3 linked regions of the Schizosaccharomyces pombe genome follow. The gene in region 3 interacts genetically with the main gene of each other region. Each region holds a gene or a part of one and is shown on either strand. Other genes may lie near its edges. The genes, in order: txl1, rhp6 and cut8.

Region 1 (11,019 bases), on a different chromosome or scaffold from region 3:
TGATAAATTATCGTACTACAATACAAAAAAGACATTGCAGAAGAAACTATTATGACTGAATGATCGTTATATTAGATCTAATAAACTTAGCTGCAAGGTACTTAAACGGATAATAATTATTATTGCTGGTTGTTTTATATTAATAAGGAATACCTTAAAAAAGTTAGTAATTAGTTGCTCATTTATATTGCTTAAAATCATCTTACCATTTGTGGCCTTCTGGAATTGATCGTACATAAGCGTACGTTTGTTTGCATAACTCTGCTCAATCAAATGAAGCATAAATGTAGATGCTTGCCGTTCATTTAAATTCAAAGCAAATCTCTCCAGGCAATGAGTAATAGTTAATTGCCCCTTAAAACAAGGAAGACCCGAATCCAACATAACCTCCACAGCTTGACATATATAATGGGCATAAGGTCTGCAGGCAAGGAATGCTTTGACACAAAGCTCTTGAAACCACTGAAATGGCTGCGATTTATTACTGCCTCCCATAACAGCGATCATCTCTGTTGTCAATTTAAAAGGTGCACTCTCAAAGGTAATACCTCCAGGAGCAATGTCAAAAATAAAACCGAAATCAATATGCAAAATATGACCTTGGTCGTCAATCATGATATTTCCATTGTGTCTATCCTTAAATTGCAATAAGTATGTAATAACTGAATAAGCGGCCATACTTTGTACGAAGTTACTACGGGCTTTTTGGAATGCTATAGAATCTTCATCACCAAACTTTGTGCGGAAGTAGTCATACAATCCATTGACAGCCTCCCGACCTAGCATATCGCGTGAAATACAATTTGGTAAAACATCAATAACACCACAGCCCGGATTAGTTGCAGTAACTCGATAAGGAAAAAGATAAACGTCTAATCCAACAGAGTTAAAAATATTTTTGAACATTGCAATTAATTGGAGTGTTAAGACATCTTGTCTGCAATCATCACCAACCTTGAAGATGGCCGATTGCCAAACTTCATAAGTTTGTTTCTTAGCCGAATCGCCGGCTTCTTCTTCTGTACCATTCACCGCCAATTCCTCAGGGTCAGCATCAACCAACTTTTCTTTGCGTATTTTAAATGTTGCCATGAAAGGAGCTTTAGCATGACTTTGAAGAGGCTTTCCCGACTTTCTATCTATTCCTACGATTACACCATCAGGATTACTTGGCAAATAAACACCAACGTCAAGTTTTATCTTCTTCATCTCCTCATCAATTTTAGCCTACAAATGTTAGTAATGTATCTCAAGAAAAGAACTAACCTTTTTTTCGGGTTTAGATTTTCTAATGAACGGCTTTAATTTTCCTGAAATTGACGTGACCTCATTGAAAAAGGTAAACTCTCGTTCGTAAAATTGCTTATCTTCTCCAGATAAAGAGTTAATCATTTTATCCATTACCCTATCCAATATTGGTTTTATAGAATCAGGTACAGTAGCGGCTTCATCTTTATAAAGATTAGCTTTCATGTTCCACAAAATTTGATGAGCAAACAACTGTGATGTTCCTGAGGTTTCGAGAATGAAACTTTCAGCATATCCCATGCTATCATAACGTAATGATTGAACAATTTGAGGAACATAAAAAAACGTTACAGAAACTGGGTAACTTTCCATAGAACGCATGGTGTACTGCAATAATTGTGGATTCCATTTCACATTCGGCATGAACATTACAGGCCCTGAAACTGGATACATTGGCTCCCAGTATAGAATAAACTTGCGATCTATAGGAAATTCACCGCTTGGATAGTGCTCAAACAGATATTCCAAAGCAACCTCATGTTTTACACTAGTAAAGGGATTTGCAATGACGAAATTCAACGCCATCTGCTTCAATGGAGCATTTTGAAATCTTTTAGGAGCGTATAACACTATATTAGGAGAAACGTTCCAAGCAACCTGTAACATTTCCAAAGTAATTGGCGACGAAGCGGCATCTGAATCAGGAATAGGTTCAACCATCCTGACATTTCGACCATGCAAAACAGGGGTCAGCCAAGTATAAAGCATATACATTTCATTATTGAGTAATATAATAAGAAGCTTTTGCTTTAATGTGGTAGACACTATAATATTGTTAGTCATATATCGAAAGGAACTGACATACCTTTAAGTGGATAACGTAATAAAAAGCTGTCTAATTTATCGCGAAGACTTCGCATAACACTTATTTCCGCTGCTACATGTAATTTGTCAGCTCCATACGTCCAGTTGGGCATTCCGCTGAACCAGCATAGTCCAGCATCAACACAAAGATTGTAAAACCTTGAACCAAGCGGGCTATTCAACAAATTTTCAGCGATACGAAGGCCAAATGAAACAAATTTGAAATGAAGCTCCCTAGTTAAAACGTTCAGATTGACTTCCATTGAAGTGATTTTCTTAAGTACGAATTTCATGAAATGTACAATAAGTTTAGCAGTCTGTCTATCACCGTACCAGAAGCCCTCAAAATTTCCTGCAATTAGTTGCAACAACAATAAGTGCGGTATCATTTGAGACATAACCTTGTTTTTATAGGACAAAAACGAAGCTCTTTCAGTCGGAGAATAAGTCATTGGAAGTGCCAACGGAGATTTACTTTTGGCTGTCGAAAAGTAACCCCTTTTTTCGGTTACAATTTCATTTTTCCAGTTTCTAATAATATTCGAAATCAGAAAAGAACTGAATGAGGGAACCTGGTTCATCATCCAATTCCATAAAGTGATCCCGAGTTTGAACGAAGAAGGTGAAAAATCAAGAAATGGAATACGAACAATTTTTCGAGCCAAAACGGAGAATTGAAATATAGGTTCTTGAACAGCATGCGCGGCTGCTTTTCTAACCTCGTTACGAAGTCTTTGCGGAGAAACAGTATTTCCCTGTAATATATCATCCTCTAAACTTTTAAGTGCTGCTAAATGAGTTTCAAAAAGCTTGGATTTTTCGTTCAAAATAAGATCTATTCTATCTGTTGACATATCCCCCTCAATATTCAAAATAGAATTGTCGACATGAGAATACCGTTGACGAATGGTATATTCGGCCATAAATTCCGAGCTCGTATCGGGAGTCCAATTTCCAAAAGCAGGCAAAACAAAATTGTCACGATCAGAACTCACGATTCGAGTGCCAAGCTCAACAGCAAGAGATCGTCCAAGCTCAACGACTTCTAAATCGTCAAAGTCCACAAAGTCTGCTAAATAAGATTCAAGCAAGTTCTTAACCTGGTAAGGAATTGCTTTGGAAGAATTTTGAATCCATGATCTAGCATGTCTATTAAATTGAAATAGAACTTCTTCCCTGCAAGAGTAAATATCTGAAAGTATTACACTCAAATTAAGCTTATTGGATTTGTATAATAATTGAGGGACATACTGATCAGTGCATTCTTCAGTGCGAGCTTTCCAAAGAAGGCTGGAAAGCTCTAAAACACTAAACAGTATTTCTTTGATACCGAGTAAATGAGGTAACGTCTCCATAATATAATTCATACATTCCAAAGCCAATTGTCGTACACAATCAACTCTATTACAACAAAGACACAACAGTTTTTGAAATTCGTCGATAGTAGAAGAAGCAACTCTTCTTTCTTTGGACAATGATTCAACGAAAGATGTTAAGTTATATAGGGCAATAGCACGAATAGATTGGGGGAGTTGACTGTCTCTCAAAGATGGATCAAGCAAGTATTCTACAAGCGCAGAAAGCTTATTCGATTTGCAACGCAAAGATTCAAGTAAAAGGACAGCAGACAAGAAGCAAATTTCTGAAGTACTCAAAGGCTTAAGATCAATGTTAGGGACCCTGACTAACAACTCTGATTTAATCTGAGAAATGACTGAATGCTCAATATGAGTCCTGAGGACTGTGTTTAGTTCCAAATTGCTCTCAAAATTGCTACCAAAATCCTCAAAAACAAGAAGGGGAGAATTTTTGGCAATATTTTCAAGGTCAACTTCTAGTGTTTCACCTAAATCAACTGAATAACGGAAACGATTTATGACTAAAGTAAACCACATGTCACGGAACAGTGCAGGATACATTTCTTCCTTGGGCAAACTGCTCCAATCAGTACCTGCAACACACTCGACTAAAGCCTGGACGGCTTTAGACATGCCAAAATAATATCCTTTCAGTTCAGGGGCAGGTGTATCACGAACGATACCTATATGGATAATCTCCTCTAGAAGACTTTTCAACAAATCTGACCTCTTGAAAGAGTTAGATTCCGTACCTCTAGCGATCAAACAGCGGGAATCACAAATAGCAATTGTCAGAGCTTCATCACCGTTCTTCACGAGCATTTTGTTTTGAATAGAATAAAACTGAACCAATATTGAAAAGTCACGATCATTAGCTTTAGTGGATATATCTGCTAGTGTTCTCACTAATTCAGTACTCACCCTCGAGTCGAATTTTCTTGAGAACTTTTGTATCAACAAAGAAATAGCTAATCCATAAATTTTCTCATCGTTAACTGTCAAAGCAATTTCACGAACAGAATCTATAACATTCAAATAGTTTGAAATTGTATTTACCGTTGCAGTTTGTGAAGAAGAACTAGACATATTGTCACTAATAGAAAGGCGTTCTTTTGGAGCTGCAAGATAACTATCAGGAGTGTCAGCAGGAGACAGCAAGTTGGCAAACTGGTATATTGAAGTGATAGCAGTATCTCTTGAGGAATAGTTGAAAAGTTGAGCAAGCTTTCTAGAGGCTAATTGAGCATAAGTCACATTACCATCATCAAAGCGGGGGGCATAAATAGCGATTAAACGCAATCTTTTCATAGCAAACTGAAAATGAGTGGGGAAAACACAGGCCAACGAAGCCATAAGTTCAATTAAATGAGGTAAGAGCTCCGGATCTTCAGATATGGAACCTAACAACACATTAATCCAATCACTATATGTGTATGGAACAAAACCAATGTAGGAGGAGGATAGAAGTGCCAATTTTAGTACGAGTACAAAAAATAAATTGCATGAAGTACCCAACTTCTCTTGAAGTCTCAAGGTCCCAGTTTTTGACAAAAACTTATCACTAAGGTTTAAGATGCTTTGGAATTGCGTTAAAAACGGCTTCTCCTCCGGAGAAGAAGGGCGATGTTTCACAATATCCCAAAATGAGGTAGCATCTTCATACCAAAGGCAACCAGAAGAATTGATGTATGCTTTCATAGATGAAAGGTAAAGGTAATAGCTCAACCCAAACCCAGCATAGTAATTGGAATGGTGAAGAAAAGAATCATTATGAAGGTCTATTAATTTACACGGAAGGTCTGAGACGAGTATCGTGTTACAAACCTCCATTGCCCATAAACACGCGTCTTGCGGCAAAGCTGATATGCAAGCATCGGCTATTTCTTCAAAAAAGAAACCAAGGTGGGAGGCATAAAACACTTTCTCAAAGATTGTCGTTTTAGTATGAGTTGGATTATTATTTGACGAATGAGGAGTATTTAGAATACGAGTTAGTGCCAAAAAAATGCTATTCAAAAACTTCACTATATCGGAAGATAATTCTCTATGCTGCCTGACAAGCGCTAAAAGCGCCTTAAGAATACATGGGCAAATATTCGCAGTCAGTGGTAAAAGATTAGGATAGACAGATTCATCAAGTGAGCATAAAACACTTTTGTACTCCGAGGTATCTTCCAAAAATAGATAATTCAGCAAGTAAAAGCGAAGCTGTTGGAACAAAGTCAAGGCATTTTCAGAGGCTTTGTTTTCCAAAGTAACTTCACAAATTGACAAGACAGTGTCCTCAATTCTTTGGGCCTTAAATAGCTTAGAATCTGCTTCAAGCAATTTTGAGTAACGATTACTTGATTGTACGAACAGATTCCAACCGTGATCGGGAAGGCAGCCAAGTTTTCGTAAAGATTCCCTTCTGATTGATTTATCGATGCTAATAATAATTAGTAGACTGTGCATTCGAAAGGGGAAAAAATAAAACCACTTACCAATCCATAATATTTGGCAGGGGATTACAAGGGTAATGTAAATCTAATCAAAAAGGATTAAAAATAAGTTATAATTTTGATGGGATAGATTCTATCAACCAAATGAAATGAAAGTTACGGAAGAATCTACTAATAACCGCTTTCGGCTTTAGAAGCAGAGAACCAGGTCTAAATGTGAAATCTCCGGCTTGAAATAGTATTTAGATATCCCTTTAATACATTAAATATGAAAATAAGAAAGAGAAAGCTAGTAAAAGTAGAAAATGACTTGAAAGAGCGTGATCTGCTGTTGACTTAGACGAGTGCAATTATGTGGAAGATACTTCCATACGACTTAGTAACTGAAGTTATCGATAGATGGTAAAGCTTCAAAAATGTCAGAAAATAAGGATAAAAATAATATTTTAAAACGCCATATTGAAGAAGATAATAATATTGATAATGGAAAACGCAAAAAACTCGAATTGGGTAAAGACATGGAAGATGTTCATGATATTGCGTCTAAAGAGATGGAAGAACACGAAACAACTCCAATAATATCACAAAACCTATATTTGGACACTGTAAGAGTGATTTTGCTGCATTTTTGTTCTATAATTAACGCTAATTAGATCAATCGTAAATTGTTAGATTTTGATTTTGAAAAGGTTTGCTCCGTTTCCTTGACAAATCTTAGTGTATATGCTTGCTTAGTCTGTGGAAGATATTTCCAGGGTCGTGGACCTTCATCACATGCTTATTTCCATGCACTCACCGAAAATCATCATGTTTTTGTAAATTGCTCAACATTAAAGTTTTATGTCTTGCCGGAATCTTATCAAGTAGAATCCAGCGCTTTACAAGATATTGCCTATGTGATGCGACCTACTTTTACGAAACTAGAAGTCCAAAGACTAGATCACACACCACAGCTCAGTTACGATTTAATGCTCAAACCCTATGTTCCAGGTAAGTATCGTGGGGAATTGTTTTGTTTTCTTTTATAAAGCTTACTATGAAAAAGTGATAGGATTCATTTTATTTAATGGTTTAAGTTCTAACACTTGTAGGTTTTGTTGGCATGAACAATATAAAAAATAACGATTACTTTAATGTGGTGATTCATATGTTGGCCCATGTTAAGCCATTTCGAAATTATTTTTTGCTTAAAAACTTTGATAATTGCCCTCAACTTGTCCAAAGATTGGCAATCCTTATTCGTAAACTTTGGAACCATAAAGCATTCAAGAGCCATGTCTCTCCTCAAGAACTCATTCAGGAGGTTACAGTTCTTTCTCACAAAAAATATTCTATTAATGAACAAAAAGATCCAGTAGAATTCCTTTCCTGGTTTTTAAATACTTTACACAATTGCCTTGGTGGAAAAAAGTCGACCATAGCAAAACCTACTTCTATTGTACATTACAGCTTTCAAGGATTTGTACGTATTGAATCACAGAAAATTCGCCAACATGCTGAAAAGGGAGAGCAAGTTGTGTTTACTGGTGATAGGGTTATACAAACTAACGTCGTCCCTTTTCTTTACCTTACTCTTGATTTACCTCCGAAACCCATATTCCAAGATGAGTTTGAAGGTAATATCATCCCACAAGTAGAATTAAAAGAGATACTTAACAAATATAATGGGGTACATACCCAAGAACTTGCAGGTATGCGACGGCGTTTTCATTTAATGACGGCTCCTCCATACTTTATATTTCACATCAAAAGATTTATGAAAAACAATTACTTTACGGAAAGAAACCAAACTATAGTGACATTTCCTTTGGATGATTTTGATATGAGCCCATTTATTGATGACTCATTTATCCAGTCAAATCCGAAAATCTCTACGAAATACAACCTCGTTGCTAATATTATACATGAGTCCGTGACACATGCTGAAGAAGAATTTCATAACTTCCGAATTCAAATTCGAAACCCCTCTACCAATAAATGGTATCAAATTCAAGACTTATATGTTGAAGAAATCAGTAGCGATATGATTCGTTTAGGCGAAAGTTTTATTCAGCTTTGGGAAAGGTCATCATAGTGTTAATATGTGGAATTTTTGGATTTCTCACAAAATTTCCTCTACGTGAGACAAAATTAAAAAACATTCATTTTATTTATCAAACGTTACCGCTTAGAAAATCTTTATTCTATATAAATTAGATTATCCATTTATATTCCCATTTCGTGAGTAGTCAGCAATTACAATGCTCAAATGAAAGGTTTGTAGTATTCTTTGGTATCAAGACACCAGATTGGTCGAGTAATGTATACGAAACTAGATTTTCATAAAGGTAAATTCGTAAACCGTCATGATTTTAGTTAACAAATTGTTAAGCACCTAAGCTTCGACCTTTTGTAGTTTTCCTTTACTTGAATCACCAACAGGCTCACCAAATAATTCTAAGCGAGAAATCTTAGTAGTTTCTTCTTCTCCGACATTCGAATAAATAAAAATAACGAGAGAATTGACACGTTGAAATTTAACAAAACGAAGGGGAATAATTGTAGGTTGATCGTCTTGTTCGTAAACTATATCCTCAATGACTTGAGTTGGAGTAAATGACTCAGCATCTTCAAAAGAAAGATTGTTGGGCTGATTGATGTACAATTTGATGGTTTTTGGAGCACTCGAAGTTTCTCCCTTAACAGGAGTAATTGCAATAGAATGAACCTTTACCACTTCAAGAAAAGGTATGTATATCATTAATTGCTCGTCAACATCCGACTCTAAAAATGAGGAAGGATTACTGTTAAATGCACTTTTCAAATCGTGATCATCTTGTTGATTTAGACATTCCAATTGGGGATTTTCAATGCAGCCTTGCAAGCTAGCAAAACCCTTGACAGGTGCCGATGACGAAGAAGCAAGAGCGCCAGTTCCTGTGGCTTTTGAGGAAATCAAAGCAACTTTTTCCTTCAAAGCTTGTGGGTTTGCTCCAGTTAGCATATCAATTTGTTTGCCATTTTCAAAGAAAACAAATGTAGGCCTAAAATGTTAGCAAAACCAATGGTACAGTGACGGATTAGGTAAACACATACATTGCTTTGACGCCAAGCCCGGAGGCAATTTGACGTTGCTCGTCTACATTTACTTTAGCAAAAACGAATTTGGGGCTAGCATATTTCGATGCTAATTGTGAAAATAAGGGAGAAATTGCTTTGCAAGGACCACACCAATCGGCATAGCAATCAACTGCAAGATATCCGGACTTAGGGATCGTTGAGATCCAGTGCTGGTACGATCTAATTTCAATAACTGACATATGGTTGAGGTTGAGTTCTATAAACCGTCTGCCAATACCATCTCGTACACCACGACCGTTATTAGTAGTGCGTCTAGCCAACGTCGAAAAACATATTTTTTTATTATTGTTTCCTGGAAACTACCTTTGAGTTTGCTATTTAAACATAGAAGTTGATTAATTGACAGTATTATTTACCGCTCATATTAAACTAGCTGTAATTTTATTTAGACTTAATTTGTTATACATGGTTTAAAAACCGGGTTGTTTTAAGCTGTCAGTTGCTTACTGTAGCATCTGAGTCTATTTCTTAGGTGAAATCGAATGAATTCTTTTTTATTGGCACGAGAATGGGGCCAAGGTAATGCAATTGATTATGTGATATAAGGATTTCAAGTCTCACATTTGTAGAGCCAAATAGCTCTTTTCGAAGGCAACTACTGCAGCATCGTCTTCAACGGTTAGCGCTGAATCCGGATGTGAAAATTAAACGTAGACACGGTGCGGGCATTTTAGGATCCGTAAATGCACTAAGCATTGATAATACAATTCATCAGCTGTATGACCTATATCGTTGATTTATCAAAGCTTTCAATTTTTGGTTAACAATTTCTATTGACAGCATGGTCTCTGGAGGAGCCAACTCGTCTATCAATGTTTGGGACCTACAAAATATTGACCAAAAGGAAGATGAAGATTTAATTTTGGATACCTTAAATGCAGTTCCTGCGTAAGCATTCATTTTCTACCTAGTTTATGACAATTTCAATATATACACTAGTGATCAATAGCTAACTTGCGGTGTTTTAGTCGAACGAGTCATAAGTTTGGAATAACAGATTTGCATTGGTTTCCGTTTGATAATGGTATTTTTACTAGCTCGTCGTTCGATCATACGCTCAAGGTTTGGGATGTTTCTACTTTACAGGTAATAAAAGTAGAAATCGCAAATTAACCAATGTTCTAATATTGGTAGGAAGCTTACACTTTTACTATGGAGGACATGATTTATTCACATGCATGGTCGCCCATTGCATCACATTGTTTAATTGCCAGTACGTTATATTCTTCATTCTTGAGATTGTTCATCTAACGATAGCCGCCTACCGGTCTTCGTCTATTCGGCTTTGTGATATGCAAAGTGGTAGTTATACTCATAGTTTGTCTGGACACACGGGTAATGTCCTTGCGGTGGATTGGTGTCCTAAGAATGAATTCGTGTTAGCGTCCGGCTCTGCAGATGGCACTTGCAGACTTTGGGACATTCGTAAAGTATCATCCAGCTTCGCATGTATGGATCTACATAATAAGTATTTACCCAGTAACCAGACAAATATATCTCATTACGGCACCGTTAATGGATTAGCTTGGACTTCAGATGCTCGATATTTGGCAAGTTGTGGTACCGACGATCGAATAAGAGTATGGAATATGGAAAGTGGAAGAAACACATTGAGAGAATTTGGACCTATTATTCATAACCAGACTACTTCCTTCGCGGTACATCCTTGCATGATCCAACCCTCTATGGATTCAGATGTTTTTGTGTTATTCCCCAACGATGATGGGTCTCTTGCCTTATTGAACTTGTTAGAAGGCTCGTTTGTGCGCCGACTTTCAACCCACAGTTTAAAACGTATTAATTGTGCTGCCTATCGTCCTGACTTTGAACAGTGTTTTACTGGTGATATGAATGGGAACATTTACATGTGGTCTCCTAAAGCTCTAAAATCGCCTACGAAGATTTCGGATTTAGAAACAAGACGAAACATAATTCAAGAAGTATACGACTCTTTAATTAATATTCCAGTGACTTATCAATAATTGCTA
Region 2 (11,107 bases), 4.2 Mb from region 3:
ACCATCAAGTTCTTCTTTTTTTGTCCGGATAACCTTTAAGCAAAAAAGACAGATGCTCTGAATAGTTTCTTTTTCTAAGCCTTCATTCAATTCCCAGTTGTCGCTCACCACGTGAAGAAGTCGAAGAAAATTGACCAAACTACGTTCCGATAAATTAGAAGACATTGTAATAGAAAAAAATTTAGGTAGATGCATAATTGAAAATGACTGCATGGCACAGCAATTAGTTATTAGAGTATCGATACATGACTCCATTGTTTTATCTCCCTTTTCAGCGAAACGATTGAGTAATTGGAAGAATTGTTCATGAGCAGTTGGAGGTAGAACATCTTTATAAACCATCAAAACAGAAAGAATTTTTGATAGACTGACGAGCAAATCCTCAATTCGAAAGAAATCCGAAAAATTTATATTTAATGATTGTTTACCATTAATGATGTCTCTTAAAGAGTTCAAAAGGAGCTGTAAAGCTTCAACAGTTTTTGTAAACATCTTTGTGTTTCGAAGCTGATTAGTAAAATTAATCAATATGTATTGAACAACTTTCCAATCTGTTTCATGGGTAACAATATACATAACATTTTTTACCCATTCATTAATCGGCAAACTCATTAAATCCTTTGACAAAGTAGCTGAGGTATTCACCTTCAGGGGAAACTTTTGAAAAACTGGAGAAAACGACAAATCTCTGTCCTTTACTTTATTGTCCCGACAGCGTTGAGCTTCTTCAGATATAAAAGGGTTATGCCATTGCGTACTATATACAGATATTAACTCTAACTGAGCGGGAGACAAGTTAACAAAACAATAGTCATTAGTGTTTATTCGTAGTTGTAATAATAACTTCAATACTGGAATTCGAAAAGTACGTCGAATTTTGAAATCACACGAAATTTCGACCAACCCATCGTAAAGCACTGATTTAAATTCGGGTAGCAAAACATAATAAAATGTTAAGCTTACTATTGCCTGAATAGATCTAAGTTGTAAATCCCCATTACTGCTGTTATGAGCATAAAAGCATAATGAGTCTTTCACCTCGTGAAATACATTCGATGGATATATCCAAGATAAATCACAAACTAAGGAAATAACTTCATCAATTATAACTTCGGAACTAGATTTATCCAAACTTTTCACTAAGGGACAAAGCATTCGAGCATACACTTCAGGGCGAAGTTCAACTGGACAAGCAAATAGAACTTTTCTAAAGAGACCAATTAAGTAGACATGGAAATCCAAAGAAAAACTAGTATCAAAATAAGATTTAAGTAGAATTGTTTGATCCTCAAGCCATCCTTCCGAATATGGCAACTGTGATCGTAAATCAAGAACAGTAAACAACTTTTGGCTAAGTGTAGGGGTTAAATATGAAAAATTAATTTTCAGGAACTCATGAAACTTCTCTAGAACAAAATGATTAGAGTCTGGTTTTAAAATTTCGTTAAATAAAAGAAGATGTTGTAATTGATACGATGCAATAGACTCAATTATATTAGGCTCAATGTGCTGCCAAGTTCCAGGTCGGTAATTGAGAGATTTAGGAAGTGATGAAGATATTTCAACAAGCAAATCTAAAAGGCTGATCCATTCATCTGCATAAAGCACTTCAACAAAAGAACGGCGCTCCAAAGCATTATATAAAGAACGAGTGGTTTCTAAAGCTATTCGACTAGATTTATTCTTTAAGGATCTTTGAAGGAATCCAAGCAGCATTCCTCTAGTGCAATACACTGATCTAGGGATATCGGTAAAGAGAGCACTCACGATTTGAATACCACCCATAATCGCTATATAAGAACCTTCATCTGTCTCTTCCATTATCCGTTTTAGGGAATTAAGTGCTTCGTACTTGGTCGCTGTCTTCAACAGTTTCTCAACAATCTGCTGAGCTGATTGTGAGCTTGCGACTAAGCCAAATTTTGCTCGACATACTACTTCAACAATAGAATACAAAACAGCGGAAGATATGCGACCATAGGATATAATACAATTTAATAACGAAAAAACTAATGCAATGTCTTCTTCATCGGTGGTGCTTTTTGAGACCCACACACAATTCGCTAGCATAGAAGAAACCTCCATTTCATCAAATAAATTAAAGCCCACCCTGAACATATTCGTAAGCAAGAGAATTATCTGACGAAAACAACGGGTGTAATTTCTCAATTCAGCACTTCCTTTGAAGGATTTTCTCGACTGAGCTCGCATATCATCAATAATCGTAAATAAATCAGTCAACCATTCAGACAAAACTTTAAGTATGTCATTTGAAAAAGACTCAGTTCTTTCGCCTTGGGATGTAATAACAATCAAGGCGTCTACAGTAGCAGGATAGTATTCAGAATTCGGAACCTTTGACAGCTCGTTGAATAATAGTGCACGGTCATCGGAAGACATTTCTTTATGCTTTTCAGCTGCATGAGTCCATAAGGAAATAGTGGCTGCCAGTATGTTTCCGTGAACTTTATTTTCAATAATGTCTTTAGTGGAATCAACAAGTTTTTGTAGGATTACATTTTTACAAAACTGCTCATTGTTGATGAGCCTTTTTATGCGTTTGTAGCGTTTATCCAATGACTGTTGATTCGATATTTGGGTGAGAATCGTGTCTATATCCAAAGCCTTCATAGCTTAGATATAAATCGATGCAGCAAACAACGACAATTTTTCTTTAACCCAAACGTAATATAGGTCCTGGGTTGGCACCGATTTAAGTATTAAGATTTTAAATATATTTAAAAAGTGCTAAATTAAAGATTTAATGAAGTAAACCCAAATTATAGACTGCTTAAGCCGTGGAGGATTATTATAAACTCCTGAAAAGATAGCCTTAAGAAACGTGCAGATATCGAACTGTAACGGATTGTAAAAGCACACCTCAATATAGCATCGATTAGGATTTATTCAATTTCTATGTTTTAGTCAATAAAATCGAAACAATGAGTCTTCTTCGCGTTGAAGAAGTCAGAAGATGGTTAATACATACATAATTTTAGCGAGTATATGATAAATCTGTTGGTGAATTTCGGAGTCAAGGTGGAGATATGCAAATTACTAAATACAAGAATAACCATTTAAAAAATGTTTAATCAACCACATGTATTTCAAGAATCTACATTGAAAAGTATTAAGTATTATCTCAAGTTATGCAACATTTATCATAGAACTAAAATTAAAAATTAAGGAATTTTTTATTAATTGTTTATTTTTTAAATAAAAAGTGTCTCAGTTAATTTATGAGAGAAGCCATTCTCCAAAATTAGTGACATTAAAAAACTGAGTGATGATTTGTCTATTGTGACCGTAAGTAAAGGAAATAATATTGCAAAAAAAATATGATACAAATTAAGGAAATATACCAGTGTAGTAATAGAGTTTACAAAATTTAGTTTGTAAACTTTGTAACCAAAAATCAATGCGGTTAACTATTTCCGAGAGCAAATAGTTATATGTAAACAGGAACAAAAATTCAAGGAGATGCAGGGTCAATTGACCATATGCGAGCACGTAAATCACCACTTCCCGAAGCAAATTGCCTACCATCTGGGCTAAAGCATACGGAAATAACTGAATTCTTGTGTCCTTGACAAGTGAGATAAGATTGGCCTGTTTGCAAATCCCAGAATTGCATACTTCTATCCTTCGATCCGCTTAATCCCCAACGGCTGTCGGGTGAAACAGCTACTGAAAGAACAAAATCAGTATGTCCTGTATAGGTGGCTTTGCAAATACCTTCAGGCTTAATAGCTGAAAGGCCAACTGAACGAGTTGCTTGTAATTCCCAGACTTTGATAGTCTTATCAAGACTTCCACTAAGAAGAATGCTGCTGTCGGGCGAAAAGGCAATAGAATAAACACTCTCCTTATGACCTTCCAATCGTTCAACCAAAGTACCCGACACAGACCATACTCGAATTATCTGATCTAGACTACCAACTGCAATGAATTGATCATTTGGAGAGATGGCTATTGCCGTCACACCATTCTCAATTTCTAACTTTAAAATACATTGACCTGTCTCCACATCCCAGAGTCGTGCAGTTCGATCGCCACTACCAGAGACGATGAATCGCCCATTATGGCTAAAATCTAAGGAATAGATATCTTGTTCATGACCTGAAAATACGTAACGAACTTTTTGAGTTGAGAGATCCCAGAGTTTTATTTGACGATCTTCTGTTCCCGTGACTAAATACTTACCATCAGGGCTGAAAGCAATGGTTCTCACATACAAATCACGGGAAGGATCAGGTGATTCTTCATGCAAAGTAAAAAGTTTTTTGCCAGTCTGAACATCAAAGACATTAGCGGCCTGGTTACAGCCAGTTGCTAAATACTTGCCATTGTTACTAAACTTAACGCAGCAAACAACACTGGGATGCTCTAGTGTGTGCACGAGATTAATATTAAAAACCCTTTTGCATGCTGGGTTATAAGTGACGTACCAACTCTGAGAAGTTGTCTTTCTAGCAGCTTCTGTATCTGAAACTGGAGCAATCTGTTCTCTTCCCTGATATTCTCCATCAGGACCCGCTTGGGATATAGAACCAGCATTCGCAGAAGCAGTCATAGAAGGTTCAGCCGAAGGAGTTGCTTTGGTAGGAATACGCGGTGGCTGGACATTCACAGCAGGTTTTGAAGTAGCACTTGGATTATAATAATTGGAAACACCAGGCAATTGAGGATTTGGTTGTTGAGAAACCTGATTTGCTCCGTAATTAACAGGAGGGATATATAAAGGTGTAGTACTAGGTAAATTGGATGTAGATATCGCGGGATTTTGAGAAGCAATTCCCTGATTAAAATTTTGCCCGCTAGAAGCCTCTACTGAAGGAGGAATTGGAGGCATCAATACTTCAGCAACATTATTTTGAGGATAAGCTGATTGGTGAATTGGAGGGATTTGCTGAAAGGCAGGTAGATGGTTACTTGGAGGCTGAGAAGTAGATTTGGTTTGAGAGGGATGTTCCTGATCAATATGGGTAACTTGATTATTAGAAGCGGCAAGTTCAGATCTTTCTCCACGATTTCTATAACTTGCGGTATTCGCTTCGACACCTAATTCTTCAAGCTCTCGCTTCAACTTGTTGATATCTTTTTCGTACCTATAAATGTTAGTAAATTGGTGAAGACAGATGTTATAAAGGTTTTTTTTTTTTTACTTCAAGCATATAAATCTCGAGCGACACGTATGCTATTATAAAATAATGATGAATTTCACAGAAAAGAAGTAGATACTATATAATCCCTCGATACCTTTAACATATAAAAACTTACGTTTCTCTAATAGATTTTTGTTTTTCATACATATCATCCACGGTTTTTCGGAACGCTTCAATTTCTTGAATTTGAGATTGTATCACTGCAATAGAACAGAATGTTAGTTTCCAAAAAATAGCTAATTTAATTTATTTTATTCAAACACGTACTAGAAGATTCATAGTCGTTTCCGCGCGCCTTGGACGCGAAGCTATGATGAGCCAAAGCATTGTATTCAGCCTTCAACGCATCCAGCATTTCTTGAACTTTCGTGGCATCCTCCACTGACGCCATTTTTTTTTTCAGTCAGACTTATTGCAAAAACTGAATCCGATTGATATACGCCCTTTTACAACAATAGCAACACTTGAATTGTGGTACAAGAATAAACTTGTGTTCTTGAACGTTTGTAGCAGCACTTTTATCGAGCGGCTCCTTGTGCTGCGCTAATCTTTAAATAGAGAATGTGGTGCTACATATTTTTGGTTGAGCAAGTATCACAAAATTAGTATGGCGTGTGTGTTGGCAACTTGTCCCAATTATTTTGAAATTCATTTGAATTATAGAGAAAAGCAATTCGAAACCCTTTACTGTTTGATTTTTTGTAGCGTTTATATTATTTTTTTGAATATAGATTTTCTTGCTTTTCAGTTGATGTTTGTTATAAAAAAATAGTTATAACTTTGAAACGTAGTGTAATTCATTTTTTTTTTATTGATGGAAAAATTTGTTAACCGTTTTTATATATCAATATAAAAAAATTAAAATTTGTGTTTAATCAATTTATTATCTGATCCTTGTTTAATTAGATTGTTTACCGACCTTTGTAAGACATTATTACAGTGAGTTTTATCTTGATAAGTATTAATTAAAAGTTATGATAGTATTTAACCCGTAAATTCACATTTCATTTGCTAATGACTCAGTTAATCATAAGTGACATTATTTGTTTAATGATGCGAAATTTGACGCACTTTACTGATATTAAAACATTGTTGGTTGTCTTAAAGATGCTTTTTTCATATAATCTAGTTATCATGAAGAAGGATGAAAAAATCCCATAGTTGAAATTTATTAACACTAAAGCAAAATGTTTAAGCGCAGCAAACCGAAGCCGTCAGAAATTGAGCATTTAATCTGACACGATATGCCATTTACACTTCAAGGGCGATTAATAAATACACTTTGGATTTATTTTTAAATCATATTTATTGCTTATTTACTTATCAATTTTTGTTTGATGTACTATTTAAGTTGTTTTGAATTTTTTTTTTATATGACATTAGTTTGGGATTACTACCCAGTTTAATCAGTTTAATGATACAGGAGGAAAGCAAGATTAAAAAAGGGACGGACAACGTTCATTGCATATCTTGTTATTGCTTGTCAGTTTACGGCCCTCAGCGTTTGTTAAGCTACACTAACTATTTACTTGTAACTTGATAAATTTTGGTATGCTGGTGGTAATACGAGTAGGGGCCAGACATAAAGCAATGCGACAATTAATGATATGTTGCATAGTGGGGCATAATGTAGTGTAACAGCTGACGCTATATATCATCGAGATGTTTTTACTTACGTTTTACAAACTATTTCACTAAAAAGTTTCCGTATAGTTTTATCAGCAATTTGTTAATATTGATATCAATACATATATATATATATATATAAGTCTATTTATACATCGATAACTCTACTAGTCCCATTGTCAATGCTAGTGAATATACTTGTTTTCCGACAGAAATGACTCGTACTCGTGTACAAAAAATGATACCGAAAACCATTGAATACCAAAAAATGATATCTGGTCAACCGTAAGGCTAATGCTTAAAACTTGTCGAGCTAATATATCATCTTCGTTGACATGTTTGAAGTCACATTGAACGCAGGGAGATATTCTAATTACTAAATAACAGGTACAAGGCTTACGACGAGGAGTTGACTCAAGCGAGATGTAATGCTAAAAAATTAATGCGAAGGTTTAATGACACTATGGGAGATTTGGAAAATGTAGGCCCAGCAGAATTGATTAAAAGACGAGCTGAACTGTTGGCTGAAGTTTTTGTATTTGACGAATCTTCAGCACCAGAGATTGAGCCACCTATGGCTTTTGATTACGGATTTAACGTTCATTTTGGAAAAAAATTCTTTGCAAATTATAATTGTACATTTCTAGATGTTGCCATAATTACTATTGGTAATAATGTAATGCTAGGCCCCAATGTATGTTTATATATATATATAGTTACTTTCAAGTCATTCATTCAAAAAATAAATATACTAATGGTGTCTTTCCAGGTTCAACTATGTACAGCAACACATCCCTTGGATTTTAAAGCAAGGAACTCCGGAATTGAATTTGGTTTACCAATTAACGTATGCGTTAGTCCAGTTATTGAAACATCTTACAACTAACAAACAAAATTTTATCAAGATTCAGGACAATGTTTGGATTGGTATGGGAGTTATAGTTCTCCCAGGTGTTACTATCGGGGAAGGCAGTGTAATTGGAGCGGGTGCTGTTGTTACAAAAGACATCCCACCTAATACGTTGGCTGTAGGATCACCTGCCAAACCTATTCGTAAAATTGAAAACGAGTGAACGAGTGTAATTTTTTTTTTTATTATTTCATCTAACGATTAAATGCTCTTTGAACTTCTTAAGTTCACCTGGCTTGGTTCCTAAATTTTTAAAATAGTATAAATAATATTATATTATGTTTGAGCTTTAAATTGTTATATAGAAGACTTAGAATGCTAAAAGAAATCCATTTCTCACTCGCCAAGTAGGATCAGTTTCCTCCTATGACTTGCTAAAGCCCCCACGTGGTACTGCAATCGATTTTAATTCTAATGCTTAGCCAAGTCTAAAATAGTTGAAATTCTTAGTGGGATAAGAACTCTTAACCCCCACGATATATTTGAATGCTAAATAACCTAACCTAAAACCATTTTACACATTTTATTACTAACTTCATTATATTCTTGTAGAGGAACCATCCCATTCACCAGTTCTGAAGTCTCGACAACGAAAATTCATAAAATATGGCGCCTGCAGAACTTAAACGACCTGATTTAATCGTTCCCTACAAAGCTAGAGTCAAAGCAAATGAAGAAGGTAAAGTAGAAAGCACTTTCAAATTGAACCCAATCGTGAGTTACGCTGATTTAATCGCTCAAGCTTTAGTTCATTGTGGAATATTTTAAATCCTTTCTTTCGTCAAATAATTTATTAAGTTTGCTAACCCTATTATAGTTGGCTTGAGTTTGGTAAGCACAGCCACGTGTATGGCTGCTTTATTTCTTCGTTTCAAGTATGTAAGATATTTTAGGATTTTCATGTTAACGAGAAGATTAATTGCATGGGTTGCTTTTATCCTAACCTTTTCAAATTTACTGAACGCAAATACGTCTCCCAGCTCATCTCCGACTTCAATGGCTTTGTAAGTAATCCTAATTCATTGCATTAATGTAGTTCTATGGATGTTAACATTTGATCAGTATGGGTATCGCGGCTCTTGTGTCAACATATTTACCGGTAAGTTGAATTTTTATATTTACTTTGTCGATTAACTTGTGCAGCAATTTTTAAATACTCCAAACAAAACTTAGTAATTTTTAAGTCAGTGAATTAATAAGAGTATTAAGCTGATTTTTTTCTGGATAATTAAATTTATGCACAATGTAAATATCTAATGGTGAAGAGTTCAGATACATTTCTAACTACCATTTCAATCACGTAGCAGACGCGTAAAAAATTGGCTGTTTGTGTTTTCTCATTGTTAAGCTAGTGAAAATGTAAATTTATTTCTTACATCCTGTTGCTCTTTCATTTTTTCTTCCTAATGTATTTTAGTTGCTTTTTTAAACCCAATGAGAACAAAGGCTTAAAGTAAATATATATAATTTTCACATGTTCAACAGTTTACCGTTAACAAATGCACGGACCTTGATTATGATTAATGGTTGAATGAAAAATATCAACTTTCCTTATCTTTAACTATAATTTAAATGAAGTAGTAGTTCATTAATACTAAAGCAGACTTGCATTGCAAATGCTGAACATTACTAAAAGGTTGGTCTAGTTATAAGGTAACTGAGCGTGCACTTTATTATTTTAACGTGTTGGGTGCGCCCCATTAATAATGAAATACTGCATATGAGTGAATGGTCCTACTATTGTTCCCTGCCCTTCTCCAACAACGCAAATCGGATATCCTAACTCGGTGTAATTCCAAGGCGATATCGATATTTGTGCAACTTTTTTTTAAAGTTATCACAAATAGAAGAGAGGTTGCTATAAAAATGTCAACGACCGCAAGAAGACGTCTCATGCGAGATTTTAAGGTACGGCAGTTGTGGATCCGAGAAGACTTATATTAACCAATTCTTAGAGGATGCAGCAAGATCCTCCTGCTGGAGTTTCAGCTTCCCCTGTCTCTGACAATGTAATGCTTTGGTAAGTGTTTACCTATGTCAATTCATTTTTCTCTTATTGTTATGCAACGTAATGGTGAATATATGTGCTATATATTGAATGCCTTTTTTGCCATATATTTAGGAAGGAGATCGTTTCAAAATTCTTACAAGAAGCGATCTTTTTATGCTTGTTGGTTTCTGGATTGATTGCTTTTGTTTTTTATTATTGATGTTGGACTAACCATTTGAGCAGGAATGCTGTTATCATTGGCCCAGCAGACACTCCATTTGAAGATGGAACTTTTAAGTTGGTTCTTTCTTTTGATGAACAATATCCTAATAAACCTCCTCTTGTAAAATTCGTCTCCACAATGGTATGCTTAGTCATTGTATTTAGACAAGTCTTAAATTAGATTATTTGATTTGTTGTAATTTACTTTTTTCTTGGTTTTTTTTGTTTACTTACTTATTGGCTTTAGTTCCATCCAAATGTGTACGCAAATGGCGAACTTTGCTTGGACATTCTGCAAAACAGGTGGTCTCCAACTTACGATGTGGCAGCAATTCTTACCTCTATTCAAAGGTTTGCTTTTCAGAAATATTACTTAAATTTCTCATAACTAACTTTTAGCTTACTTAATGATCCAAATAATGCGTCCCCTGCAAATGCCGAAGCTGCTCAGCTGCATCGTGAAAACAAGAAGGAGTATGTGCGTCGAGTACGAAAAACTGTAGAAGACTCCTGGGAAAGTTGATTTCAAGACATAGCTGTCTTAATAATCCCTATTTCATTAGAACTTACTCTTCTTTTTCAACCGCCTTTCACATTAAATCTATTTAAGTGCTTCAAAGTTGCCAAAATTGTAACTATAGTAAATCATTAAGATTTTTTTGTTTACATCTACGAATGAATGATTTCTTCCTTATGTTTAGAACTTGTAAACTATATTAATGTGCGACTAATCACATATACAGACATGTACATGCAAAATTTATATTGATCTTATTAAACATAACCTGCCCTAAACCACACAAAAATACCAAACCAAGCGCAAAAACTCCATTTTTTTAAATACATATGGTCAATTTTTTTAAGTAAACCTCAACGGCTGTTCCCAAAATAATGATTAACGACGTTTCAAATTCTTCTTTCTTTTACGATATGACTGGCCAATTTGAACAGGTGAAGCTAATGAGCCATCGTTAACGTCTTCAAAATTAGCACGTCTCTTAGCTCTAGAAGTCAGGTCTAATTTACGATTTGAAAAGTCATCGTCATGGAATTTGCGATCAAGCAATGACCAGTCTTCACCACCATAATCGTGTTTCTTTACACGTTTAGATTTCTTTAAATCTTTCTTCGATAATTTAGGAAGGCGAGTATAATTACTTTCCTCATACTCTATCCTCTCACGCATTTTTTGCA
Region 3 (11,189 bases):
GTTGAGGGGTATGCGGTTGGCCCTCTCATTTTCTCTCCACTCTCTGAGGTACCTCAAATAGGCCGTCAAAAAATTTATGTGCTCTCCCTTATTGTTTTTATCTGTCTGCAAATCCCCACTGCGCTAGGATCTAGCTTGGGTGTTTTGCTTCCAATGAGATTTTTGGCGGGAGTTTTTGGCTCACCTGCCCTCTCCACTGGAGGAGCCTCTCTGGCCGATATTTGGCAGCCATGGCTTTATCCTTATTTCATGTGTTTCTGGTCCCTTGGCGCAGTTGGTAAGCTGGATCATTTAATTTGATAGTGAATTTGTGACTAACTAGTTTTCTAGGTGGTCCTGTTTTAGGTCCCTTGCTTGGTGCAGCCATGGTAGTTGCTAAATCATGGAGATGGCAGTTTTGGCTTTTGATGATGATTTCTGCACTTGTCTTGGTAATTATAACTTTTTTTATGCCAGAAACCTCTGAATGGCATTTATTGTATAAAAGAGCTAAAAGACTGCGCGAATTGACTGGAAATCCAAATTATAAAACGGAGGCCGAAATAGCCTCCTCGCAATTGAGTAAAGGCCAATTTGCAAAGCAAATATTGGTTCGTCCTATAATTCTGTGTGTCTCAGAACCAATCGTTCTGTCATTAACCATCTATATTGGATTAGTATATTCAATTTTATACCTATGGTTCGAAGCCTTTCCCATCCTTTTTACTACAGTCTACCATTTTACGACTATTGAAAACGGGTTGGTTTACATGGGTATATTGGTAGGTTCAGTTCTAACCGTAGCATTTTACTTTATTTACCTTAGAAAAGTGATGATTCCTAAGTTTGTGGAAAATAAGGGTAAGTTTCCTGCTGAAGAAATTTTAATCATCTCATTTCCAGCTGCCTTTTTTATTCCAATTTCACTCTTTTGGTTTGGTTGGACAGGAAGAGAATCGGTGCACTGGATTGTACCAATTGTTGGTACACTTTTCTACGCATCAGGTTCCTTTTTGTTGTTCCAAAGTATGTTTCAATATTTGGCAGCTGCATATCCGAAGTATGTTGCATCAGTATTTGCTGGAAATGCTCTTTTTCGATCTTCCATGGCTGCAGCATCTCCTCTATATGCTAGAGCCATGTTTAATAATACAGGTCCTTCATATGCCCCAGTGGGGTGGGGAAGCACGATTCTTGGTGTTATTTCTTGCATAATGATCCCCATTCCATTCTTGATTTATAAATGGGGTTTGAAACTAAGAAGTCGATCAAAATATGCCACTTAAAGAAAATTCATGCTAAAAAAATACCTCTTTACTGGTCCCTCACCTATACCTTCCTTTATTTAATTCTGGTCTTTTGTGATCATTACATATTATTCGATTACTCCGTGGTAACCTTAACGAAGGATACGAATTTAATTTTTATACATTAGATATTTATGAGTTTCTTTGCTGTTTATTCCTTGTCATTTTTTAAAGTGCTATTAGTTGGATATGGTTATTTCTACTCTAGTCTTTAATAATTTCTAATGTTATTAGTCTGGAAATATTAGTGTTTAATAAAATGGAGCTTGGCGATACGTTTACAATTGCTCTAAGCTCGTTACTCTTAGCCAAAAAAGGAAGCCGGAATTTATTTACAAAACACCAACTGAATAAATTTGTTTACGTTTTTAAATGTGTTTACCTAATAACTTGACTTTGTTAAGTGGATGTTAGTTCCAAGCGTTTGATTGTTAATCATTGCAGTTTTAATATAAAAAAAAAATGAAATGTGAAGAAGAGTAAAGTTATAAATATATTTTTCCTCATCCCTCCTGTTTTCAAACGTATTGAAAAAGATCATGCTAATTGACTATTTTTTGCGTGCGAATCCATTTTGAAATTTAATCTTTCATATTCTTATTTAAATAACAATAAATAAGACATTAAGATAACGAGCAGACACAGCTAACTACCTCTAACTTAAAGTTTTTTTACTTTAGGGCTTCCCTATATTTTCATCTGTTCTCTACGAATTAACCGCTTTATTTAGTTTACCTTGAAGTTAATTTGTGTACTATCCAAAACATCGTTAAAGCGTAAGCAACGCGACAAGTAGTTTATAACACTATTGTAAAGCATTTACCGCGTTATAGCTTTTTCCCTTAAATTCATACCGAACACAGTACGCCGCGTAAGATTGAATAAGGTTACATTGAGCTTTTCCATCGCATTCAAAATGCTGCATTCTTAGTTATCCAAGGCTACAAACGCTTATTATGGAAAGGGCAGTCGAACTTTCTGTTAGAAGTTAGATGGTTTTTAATTCATCATGAGTGATTCCTTTCATTATCAATATGATCGTGCTTCGCCTGAACGACTAAAGCCTACGATTTATTCGTGGACGCGTCTTAGACAATCTACACGTGCCCAAAATGAAAATGAACAAGCTAAAAGGCGACAGGGGATTTTGGAACATAAAAGGGGAGGTTCCATGGAAATGAATAAATTTATAGACGAAAGCGCTTATATGGAATGGGAAAAACAACTTGAAAATGCCTCTGAAGATTATGCAATTGAACCATCGGATCTGGAAGAAGAAGTTGATCAATTGTAACGATTTCTGAAAAAGGAAAACATAACACTATGATTTTATTCGTTTGCTGCTGCTGTCAAAGCCTTGCGTTGGTTCGCCTTGACCTAATGTCAGCTAAAAACTTCTAAACAACTTTATATAAACCAACTTAACATATTTTAGCAGTTACAATCAAAAGAATTAATTACCTAAGTTCGTGGGTTACTAAATTGAAAATGAAAATAAGGAAATTTTTACAAAGAATCAATTATATATAATCCAAAACCCTAAGTTCAATAATATAACAGCGATGATACATATCCTTTAGTCAAGCCACTTACTGGGTTGGACATCCTGCAGTTTCCATAGAATTATCAATCAATGGAGCTGGAAGCGGCTTTTCCTGTATTTCTTCTACCAGTTTCGAAATGATATCTGCATCTTTACGAGCATCATATTCGGGACTCTCAAAAATTTGAATACATTTCTGAATTTTCTGGTACTGTTCTTCAAAACCTTGCTTCTCTGTCTCCTTCGCATTCTTTAAAAACTTAGGATAGTTTGCTTCAAGATCTTTAAGGGGTTCATACAAAATCTCTTTACTGGTAACTTGTGACATTAGGGAGTTTAAGGCAGCCTCTAAAGCACCATAGTTAACGGCTCCATTATCCGAATCTTTTTCCGTTGCAAACTGATCCTCTAATATAACATTGAGTAACTGATCATTCTGAAAGCTAGACGAAAGTTGACTCCCATCCAAGCCAGACGGTCCCCCTAAGTCTTCAAATTTGCTCATCATTTCTTGAATAAGTGAATTCAAATTATCGTCATTCTTTATCCTCTCATTCTCTTTTGATGTATTACCGGTTTGTTTATGCTCATCTATGTTTTTCTTCTCTTCGTTCTTAAATGCACTGGGTACATCTAAATCATCTAGGATATCTTTGTTTTGTTAGTTGTTTCCTTTTAATGTAAAGTCCTTTCTACCCTCTCATTATTTTTTATATTTATGCAATGCAAAATTCACTTGAACGAAATATCGTAATACACAAATCGTAGTCAGGACATTACCGATGTTCCATACCATCCAAATCATCAAGGTCGTCAAAATTCGGCTTTGTGTTGCTTTTTGTATTTTCTTTACGGTTTTCGTCTCCCTCAATAGTTGGATTTGACATTCCGTTTATATATCAGATGTCAGCATACGTTTGTCGTTTTTCAAAAGCCTCTTGCAAGTTCAATTATCATGTAATTCACAAAATAAATAAAAAAGTAGTAAGTTCAAAAAAAATGAAAATTTGGAACTGCCAAAAAAAAATAATAAAGTGCTTCTCTATTATTTTTCATGTAGGTAAAACCGTAGTGATCGTTGTTTATCAAAGTATATCAGCGTGAAAACGTTCAAGTGCATTAAGATGCGTTATTTGGTTTCAAATTTGACGCAATTTTAAATCTTCAAACAACAAATTTAATGGAATTTTTTTTATTTACTGGATGTATGAATCGTTTTAATTATTCATTGTTTGTGTATCTGGTATGAATCGAGTACGAAATTAACGATCATAAAATCGTCGACACAAGAACGTAAAGTCTACCCCCTGCTTTTATTACTTGCCTATGATCAGTTGAAATGAAGCTTTGTTTTCATTTTTAGCATCACCAATAAGTTAGAATTGACTACTGTTTACCAACAACAATTAGTTAAATAGTTATTGACTATAACATTGATCCATACGCACAATTACTTCGAAAAAAATTATTATTTTGCTCTTCCAACTTAACGATTTTCTGTACTGCGTTAACATATTATTGTAGGCTTGACACTCAGCTGCGGTGACATTATATTAAATAAAATGTAATTTTTTCAGTAAACAAATTAAGGAATTAAGTAATAGTTTGGTAACGTCTCATGAGAAGAAAACTCTTGAGCCACTAAATTGTTCTTACCATTTTCCATTATCTTTTTTAAGAAATCGAGGTTCTAATTGAGCTGGTATTGCGGGCAATAGAGCTTCTTGTAATATAGAAATTATAATCGACGGTTTTATTTCATTTGGGCTGAGAAAAAAATTAAATTGCTAGCTTTCATAAGTCGATACACTGAGCAATAGCCATCCTTCCGGCTTTTAAAAAAGGAAGCTCATTAACAAAGTATCCTCTATCTTTGTTTTATTGTTACTACTTTTGAAATTTTTTCCTCTTTCTTTTGGAATATCCATTTCTTTGTAATTTTCATTTTCTTTGTTATAATTAATCAGACGATTTCACGTTTGAAGTTGGTATCTTTATTTGTTGTTACTGTTCATTTCCTTAATTCATGGAGACCTTATCTTATTCTCAGATTAAGAAACGCAAAGCTGATTTTGACGAAGACATTTCTAAGCGTGCTCGTCAACTACCTGTGGGTGAGCAACTGCCATTGTCGAGACTGCTACAATATTCAGACAAACAACAGCTTTTTACAATTTTATTACAATGTGTAGAAAAGCATCCTGATCTCGCACGTGATATACGGGGCATATTACCGGCGCCGTCCATGGATACTTGTGTTGAAACGTTGCGTAAACTTTTAATTAACTTGAATGACTCATTTCCCTATGGTGGTGACAAGAGGGGTGATTACGCATTTAATAGAATTCGTGAAAAGTACATGGCTGTCTTACATGCGCTTAATGATATGGTTCCTTGTTATTTACCTCCATACTCTACTTGTTTTGAGAAAAATATTACTTTTCTTGATGCCGCTACAAACGTTGTCCACGAACTGCCAGAATTCCATAATCCCAACCATAATGTTTATAAAAGTCAAGCGTACTATGAATTAACGGGCGCGTGGCTTGTTGTTTTAAGACAACTTGAGGATCGGCCTGTAGTCCCTTTACTACCTTTGGAAGAGTTGGAAGAGCACAATAAAACATCACAAAACAGAATGGAAGAGGCATTAAATTACCTTAAGCAATTACAAAAAAATGAGCCACTTGTACATGAAAGAAGTCATACTTTTCAACAAACAAATCCACAAAACAATTTTCATCGTCATACTAATAGTATGAACATTGGGAATGACAATGGAATGGGTTGGCACAGTATGCATCAATATATTTAAAAACTAGAACAGAAGGCCTATAAGGAAACATATAATGGCTAATAGGAAAGCGGTTTGCACAGTAACTGTGTTATGAATTTGAGGAACAACCTTGGCACCACTAGTCGGACGCCCAAAAGACGATGAAACGCGTGCAAGTCCTATTTGATTTCCACTGTTTCCAGCGAACATAGATGGACTCGTAGCTGTTGATTGTCTTGTGTTATTAATTACATTAGCGGTAGATCTTAATGCATTATTTTCATTGTTAGGAGAAGTGGTAGTAGGCACTGACTGAGGCTTTGGGTAAGGTTCATTTTCAGCGACTGTTGCAGTAGGAGCTTTTACGGCAGTAGATGGGGCTTCATGGGGCTTCTGGTGAGAAACTGCAGATGTTTTAGGAAGCTGGGTATGCTGTGTAGTAGCTGTAGATGGAGCAGCTACGGGATTTGCATGGGTCGAAGGAAGTGCCGTTCCGTCTATTCCTTTAGAGTAAGATTGATTAACATTACCATTTACTGTGGTATAATTGTCAGTGGCAGAAGTAGGAATAGATGTAGTCGTTGTTTGAGCTGGTTGATGGTGAGCATTAGCATGAGCATTTGCAGTACTGGGGCCTTCACTATAAACACATCGAATTTTTCGTTCCGATATATTAGCCTTGCTGACTTGAGTCCACTATTAAAGTATTGGTTAGAACATCAATTATGTATGGCATGTATTAAAAAAGTAAATGTAAGTATATCTTTTATCACATACAATATCTGCTATATCCATTCCCTGTAATTCTGGCTTCAATTCAGTGCTCTGGACCAAAAATTTATCGCGGCATTTTGTGCCAGGAGCCGGTTCGTGATCTAGAGGCTGTAGGATAACTATTAAAAAAAAAGAAGTTAGTAAATGAAAATTTACAGCAATAACTAATGAGCACAAATTATCTTCCAGTGCACGCACAAAAACAATAAAAACTGTTAGTTTGCAAAAGAAAATCACGTTGATGACAACGTTTTTGTTCCACCCGACAACATCAATGATGGGAACCGCTTAAACGAATAAAATCAAAAAATGCAAATGAGGTTCAAAATTAAATATAAATTATCTTACCTTCAACACTTACAGCCGAATTGGCTTCAATTCGACCACCGTTGGGTCTCACACAGTACTGTTTAGGAGCAGTAGTTTTCACTTTGAATCCGATCGGATAAGGTGCAGTATTGCGAAGTTCTAAATCACATTTTACTAGTCGTGTAAGTGGTCGAGGAAACACAATTGTACTATCACATTCAAGAGCCATGATTTACGGGAAAGGCGAGTTTGTTGCGAGAGGTGGTACTACTTTACTCTGCGAAGTACCATTTCGCAGTGTAGCCAAAAATCGTGGCTTTACGTCACACATACTTGTGTGTGATTTTCCGAGGCTGAGCAAAGATTATGGTAATATATGGATACTGAAATAAAAGGAGATAATTATTCAAGTAACTGTTTTCATCGATATTATACAAAGCCTTATAACGATATTATTAAAATAAATGTGATATTTTGAAAGTAAAAAGTAATATATGCTAAAAAATATTTTGCAGTAGGTGAATAATGTACGAATGCAGTATGGTTATAAAATCCCAATAAGTATATGGATTTATTGTTTGTGAAATTAATAAATGATATAAATACCCAAAAAGGATGATTCAAGTTATCCTTTTTAATTTCTAAATGTCATGTTAATGCGTTTGAATTGTCTTAATTACAACTTAAGAATGCAAGGATGAAGTAAACATTATGATTTCAAAAAAAAATTGCGCATTCGTTTACACTTTCTATTCAAAGGAAATACGTTTTTTGGTTTAGACAATCATTAAATAGATATTGTATACTTTCGTTAATGGTCATTATGCTAGGGAAAAATCAACATTTTTATTTCAAGGAATATCAGCGATGCTTTAGAAAGCATACCATGTATAAAGGAAACGAATTACTCGAGTGGATGCCAACTACAGGATCACGAAAGTCAGTAATCATTTTCAATCATCGGTCTGCGGATGTCGTGCAATATATACAATCATTTATTCTTCTAATTCATAGCGTAATCGGTGGTAACTACAATTATTTTGTTTCATTTGACCTGTCATTTCTATTTCAATGACCAACAAATTTATAATGCTCTCAACTGCGATGTTTGGTAATACGATATTGTAGATATTAGCACGTTAGATGTTGAGTCGATGGAACGTAGGGCTATTTTTGAGCGTCATTGTAATTTGCCTTTTGCAACTACAAACTCTACACAAAAATGGTTTTGAAATGTTTGGAATGCGATAAATTGCTTTCCTCCATCGAAATGGCTGAATTTCATAGTACCAAAACCAGTCATGATCAATTTGAGGAAACTGAAGAAGAGGTATGTATAGATTTTACTCCTTTTACTTTTTGCTGAATGGTTGAAGCGTTCGAATTGTTAACCATCCTTATTATTATAATTCACGAAAACAATAATTTGTTTCACTCGATCCTTTCTTTTTATTAACAACGATTATAAAACATAGATTAAGAAGCGTTCTCCCGAAGAGTTAAAACAAGCTATTGAAGCTTTAAGAGAGAAAGCAAAGGAGAAAAAGGAAAAAGAAAGGATTTTGGCTCTGGAAGAGAAGAAGACAAATTATAAAATCCTTCAAAAATCCAATGATGAAACTGCACAGGCTATGAGAAAGATGCAGGATCAAGCCCGCTTACGTGACTTGCAAAAGATCCGTCAACAAAAGGCTGAAGATGCTGAGCAGCGTAAGAAAATCCTCGCAGAAATTGAACGCGATAAAAAACGACGAGCTGCAGAACGGGAAAATAAGAATTCTTCTGTAAAAGAAACGGCTGCTCCCATCAAGCAGCCTAAAAATGCCAATTCGTCTTCTACTTGTACTCGCACCCCTCCTACATCAGGCAGATTTTCTATCCGACACGATGGTCAAGTTTGTAATATAACTATTGCAGCTGAGGAGACGCTACGCCAATTGGCACAACAGGTCGCTGAGAAAATGAACGTGTCACCGCCAACTAAGTTTACCACTACCTTTCCCCGTGCCTCATACGGCACTGATGTATTTGATAAACCGGTTAACCAACTTGGTAAGTATCAAACTAGTGTTTACTGTCATCATGTGTGACATTAGAATACATGTTTTTGAAAGAATATTGTGTTGCTACTAGCATCTAAACGACATATCTTTGTTTCCTCTGAAAACTTTGAACTATAGACATGGAATATATTATTAACGCTTGCATAGATTTGTTTCCCTCAGCCGTTCTTATTCCGCAATGGTAAAGTTATGACCTTTTGATAATTATGCTGTGTTAATAATGATTACGATACTTGATAAACTGGTAGAAGATATATATATCAAGGAAGATGGTGCTGAACGCGCCAAGTATCCAAGGCAGGTTAGCATATGTGTAGTTTAAGTAATCGGAGGCGGGAAATACGAGAATGCTGAAAGCGTATGAAGTGTTTCCTACAGAGGCCAACACAAAAAAGATAATGGATAATCCTTCGGTAGACTTTGCTTTGTGATTCTTGATGATTTGAGGAATACGAGCACAGAAGTATAACACAGAACTGATACAACCGGCAGTAAACGGCCATGCATTCAAGTCATCATCACTCTTGTCAGAAGAGGCACTAGAAATAATTAAGTTTCCAACGATTGTCGAGACAATAACCACACATCCCATTACACCAAATTGTTGACGGGTAGAAAGGCGATCCCACCAAATTTGTTGTTTACCAATGGGTGCATGAAGACCTTCTTCTAATGAACGACTTTGGAGTAAGGGTTCGTGTTCACGACTGGCAATACGACGGGCAGCTTTCCAACGATAGTAGTAAATTTGCATAAGTAGGGTACTGTCAGAGACAATGTAATAAAATGAGAGAACCAATACAGTAGAAGAGACATTTCCGTAAATGGAACCAAGTACATTGAAGAAATCGCCAATAAGCCAGATGATTAAAAATAAATCAGAGATACTTTCACCAGACTGGTTTTTATAATTTTCAAGTAATTGAGGGATCAGTAAAACGACCCAACATCCCAGGGATAATGCTCCTAAAAATGAAGACAACTCCGTGAGTATGTTAGCCATATCAAAAGAAGGAGCTATCACAGACATGGGACAAAAATGCTTGCGAACAGATAATTTTAAAATGAATTTGAGAAGAGCTTGTCTAAGCTTTTTATGGTCAAAGTTTTTTATATGAGTGTGGAGGACAATAAATAAAAAGAACGGGAAACAAAGGGCTACAAAAGCGAAGCAACCTGAAAGGGAAATCAAACTATTAATTTAATAGGAATGATAAGCAATTATTAAAATTTGTCAACTTCCTCGAACGTGTAATGCTTCAGCACTATAATATTCGCTGATTTATTTTAGCGATCCAAGAGATGATACTTAATGAAAATTCGTTACAAGTATTTTTTTTTGTTTTAAAAAATAAACACTAAAAGGAATATCTATAATAATAATAATAACAATGGTAAACAATATTTCTCCCACTGTAAAGAAACAGAAGAGATTTGGTGGTGAGTTTGGCTCTGGATAAGATCAACCTCCCAGCCGTCCTGTTATTTATTTACCTCGGGCAAGGCTATATAGAGATTTCAAGATAAGAAAAATTTGCCGCCCATGCAGTTTCGCAGAATTAAGAAAGTGTCCGTGGATTTACAGATACAATTGATAGTCAATCCAAAGGTATCATTCTAAAGAAATATAAAGGAATAGTAAGCGAAATAGATTTTCCTTCGAATAATCCTATTTCACTTAACAATATAATTCTCAATGTAAATAACAGTCGCATTAATTTTATCAATGTCAAGCTAACTCGTTTTTGTTATAAAATTTAATACACCATAATATCGCTAGCAGTATTAAACATTGAAATGTTTACGTGACTTGTTTGATTCTCAGATTATTTGCAGTAAAAGATGTGCTAATTCCATGATTTAATTTCGAGACTATAAAACTCTATAAAAATTTCTTACAAATTGGGATTTTTATTTTTTTTTCTAAACAAGGGTAATGAAAAGTCATGAACGATTCATTTCGTATATTAAAATATTAAAAATAATAATAATAAAAAAACGCTGAAAAAACTTTTATTTCTAAACTCACCAAAAGGACCCGAATAGTATATCTATCCATTAGTTTAGAAATATTTTATTAAATCTTTTTTTTTTATACCAAGTAGAAAACAAAACAAAGATTGCTGTCTGGTTGTATCGCATATGTCAGCATATTAGAAAATCCATTTTCTATTAACGAAGTCTAATTGGTGATGATGGCCGGTTTCTGAATTAGTCTCCCTAAGTACACCGTTTGGTACTTTCCACGAACGTACCATTTCCTCATTAATTTTCCTTGTAAAGGAGTAAAAATTATCCACATTCATAAGTTTTAACGTTATACTTAAACAAAATGGGCATTTTCGGTGGAAATAGTGGAAATGCACCTTCTTCTGAAGACAAAAAATCCATTTTCATGAAACAAATTCGTCAGGAACTTGCTGTTGCTCAAGCTGGCG

Evidence for each region.
Region 1: mutations in cut8 (region 3) and txl1 impair growth when combined (synthetic growth defect), as found in Schizosaccharomyces pombe (one study listed by BioGRID).
Region 2: mutations in cut8 (region 3) and rhp6 are lethal when combined (synthetic lethality), as found in Schizosaccharomyces pombe (one study listed by BioGRID).

The regions. Positions count from the first base shown.
Region 1 is NC_003423.3:758,269-769,287, forward strand, and holds txl1 (thioredoxin-1-like protein Txl1), read right to left. Parts: upstream 9,223-11,019; 5' UTR 9,211-9,222; coding exon 8,987-9,210; intron 8,935-8,986; coding exon 8,286-8,934; 3' UTR 8,084-8,285; downstream 1-8,083. Other genes in the region: 1-phosphatidylinositol 4-kinase Stt4, read right to left, coding at 140-153, 207-1,227, 1,267-2,072, 2,114-5,898, 5,954-5,961; ubiquitin C-terminal hydrolase Ubp10, read left to right, coding at 6,328-6,516, 6,565-6,901, 7,003-7,985; DNA repair ERCC8 family protein ckn1, read left to right, coding at 9,514-9,550, 9,601-9,748, 9,812-9,919, 10,000-10,117, 10,166-10,244, 10,289-11,013. UniProt on the Schizosaccharomyces pombe protein: Has a role in cellular detoxification of alkyl hydroperoxide.
Region 2 is NC_003424.3:296,156-307,262, forward strand, and holds rhp6 (ubiquitin-conjugating enzyme E2 2), read left to right. Parts: upstream 1-9,450; 5' UTR 9,451-9,567; coding exon 9,568-9,609; exon of another isoform or gene 9,610-9,656; coding exon 9,657-9,721; exon of another isoform or gene 9,722-9,901; intron 9,902-9,934; coding exon 9,935-10,055; intron 10,056-10,160; coding exon 10,161-10,264; intron 10,265-10,312; coding exon 10,313-10,436; 3' UTR 10,437-10,607; downstream 10,608-11,107. Other genes in the region: SPOM_SPAC18B11.11 (GTPase-activating protein), read right to left, coding at 1-2,631; transcriptional corepressor Tup11, read right to left, coding at 3,473-5,108, 5,281-5,365, 5,433-5,556; SPOM_SPAC18B11.09C (serine O-acetyltransferase activity), read left to right, coding at 7,006-7,076, 7,179-7,485, 7,561-7,638, 7,697-7,864; protein pat10, read left to right, coding at 8,308-8,380, 8,519-8,576, 8,616-8,705, 8,764-8,800, 8,845-8,874; U3 snoRNP-associated protein Lcp5, read right to left, coding at 10,809-11,107.
Region 3 is NC_003424.3:4,472,995-4,484,183, forward strand, and holds cut8 (nuclear proteasome tethering factor Cut8), read left to right. Parts: upstream 1-4,483; 5' UTR 4,484-4,855; coding exon 4,856-5,644; 3' UTR 5,645-5,647; downstream 5,648-11,189. Other genes in the region: MFS family transmembrane transporter Mfs1, read left to right, coding at 1-277, 331-1,265; protein dhm2, read left to right, coding at 2,296-2,580; protein Pex19, read right to left, coding at 2,876-3,480, 3,623-3,716; scs22 (VAMP/synaptobrevin-associated protein family protein), read right to left, coding at 5,648-6,301, 6,383-6,498, 6,728-6,917; SPOM_SPAC17C9.11C (zf-C2H2 type zinc finger protein/UBA domain protein), read left to right, coding at 7,911-8,018, 8,164-8,740, 8,899-8,936; G-protein-coupled receptor Stm1, read right to left, coding at 8,966-9,781; TIM22 inner membrane protein import complex subunit Tim13, read left to right, coding at 11,084-11,189. UniProt on the Schizosaccharomyces pombe protein: Together with nucleoporin alm1, tethers the proteasome to the nuclear envelope. Involved in ubiquitin-mediated protein degradation and facilitates the degradation of nuclear proteins like mitotic cyclin and cut2. Required for normal progression of anaphase.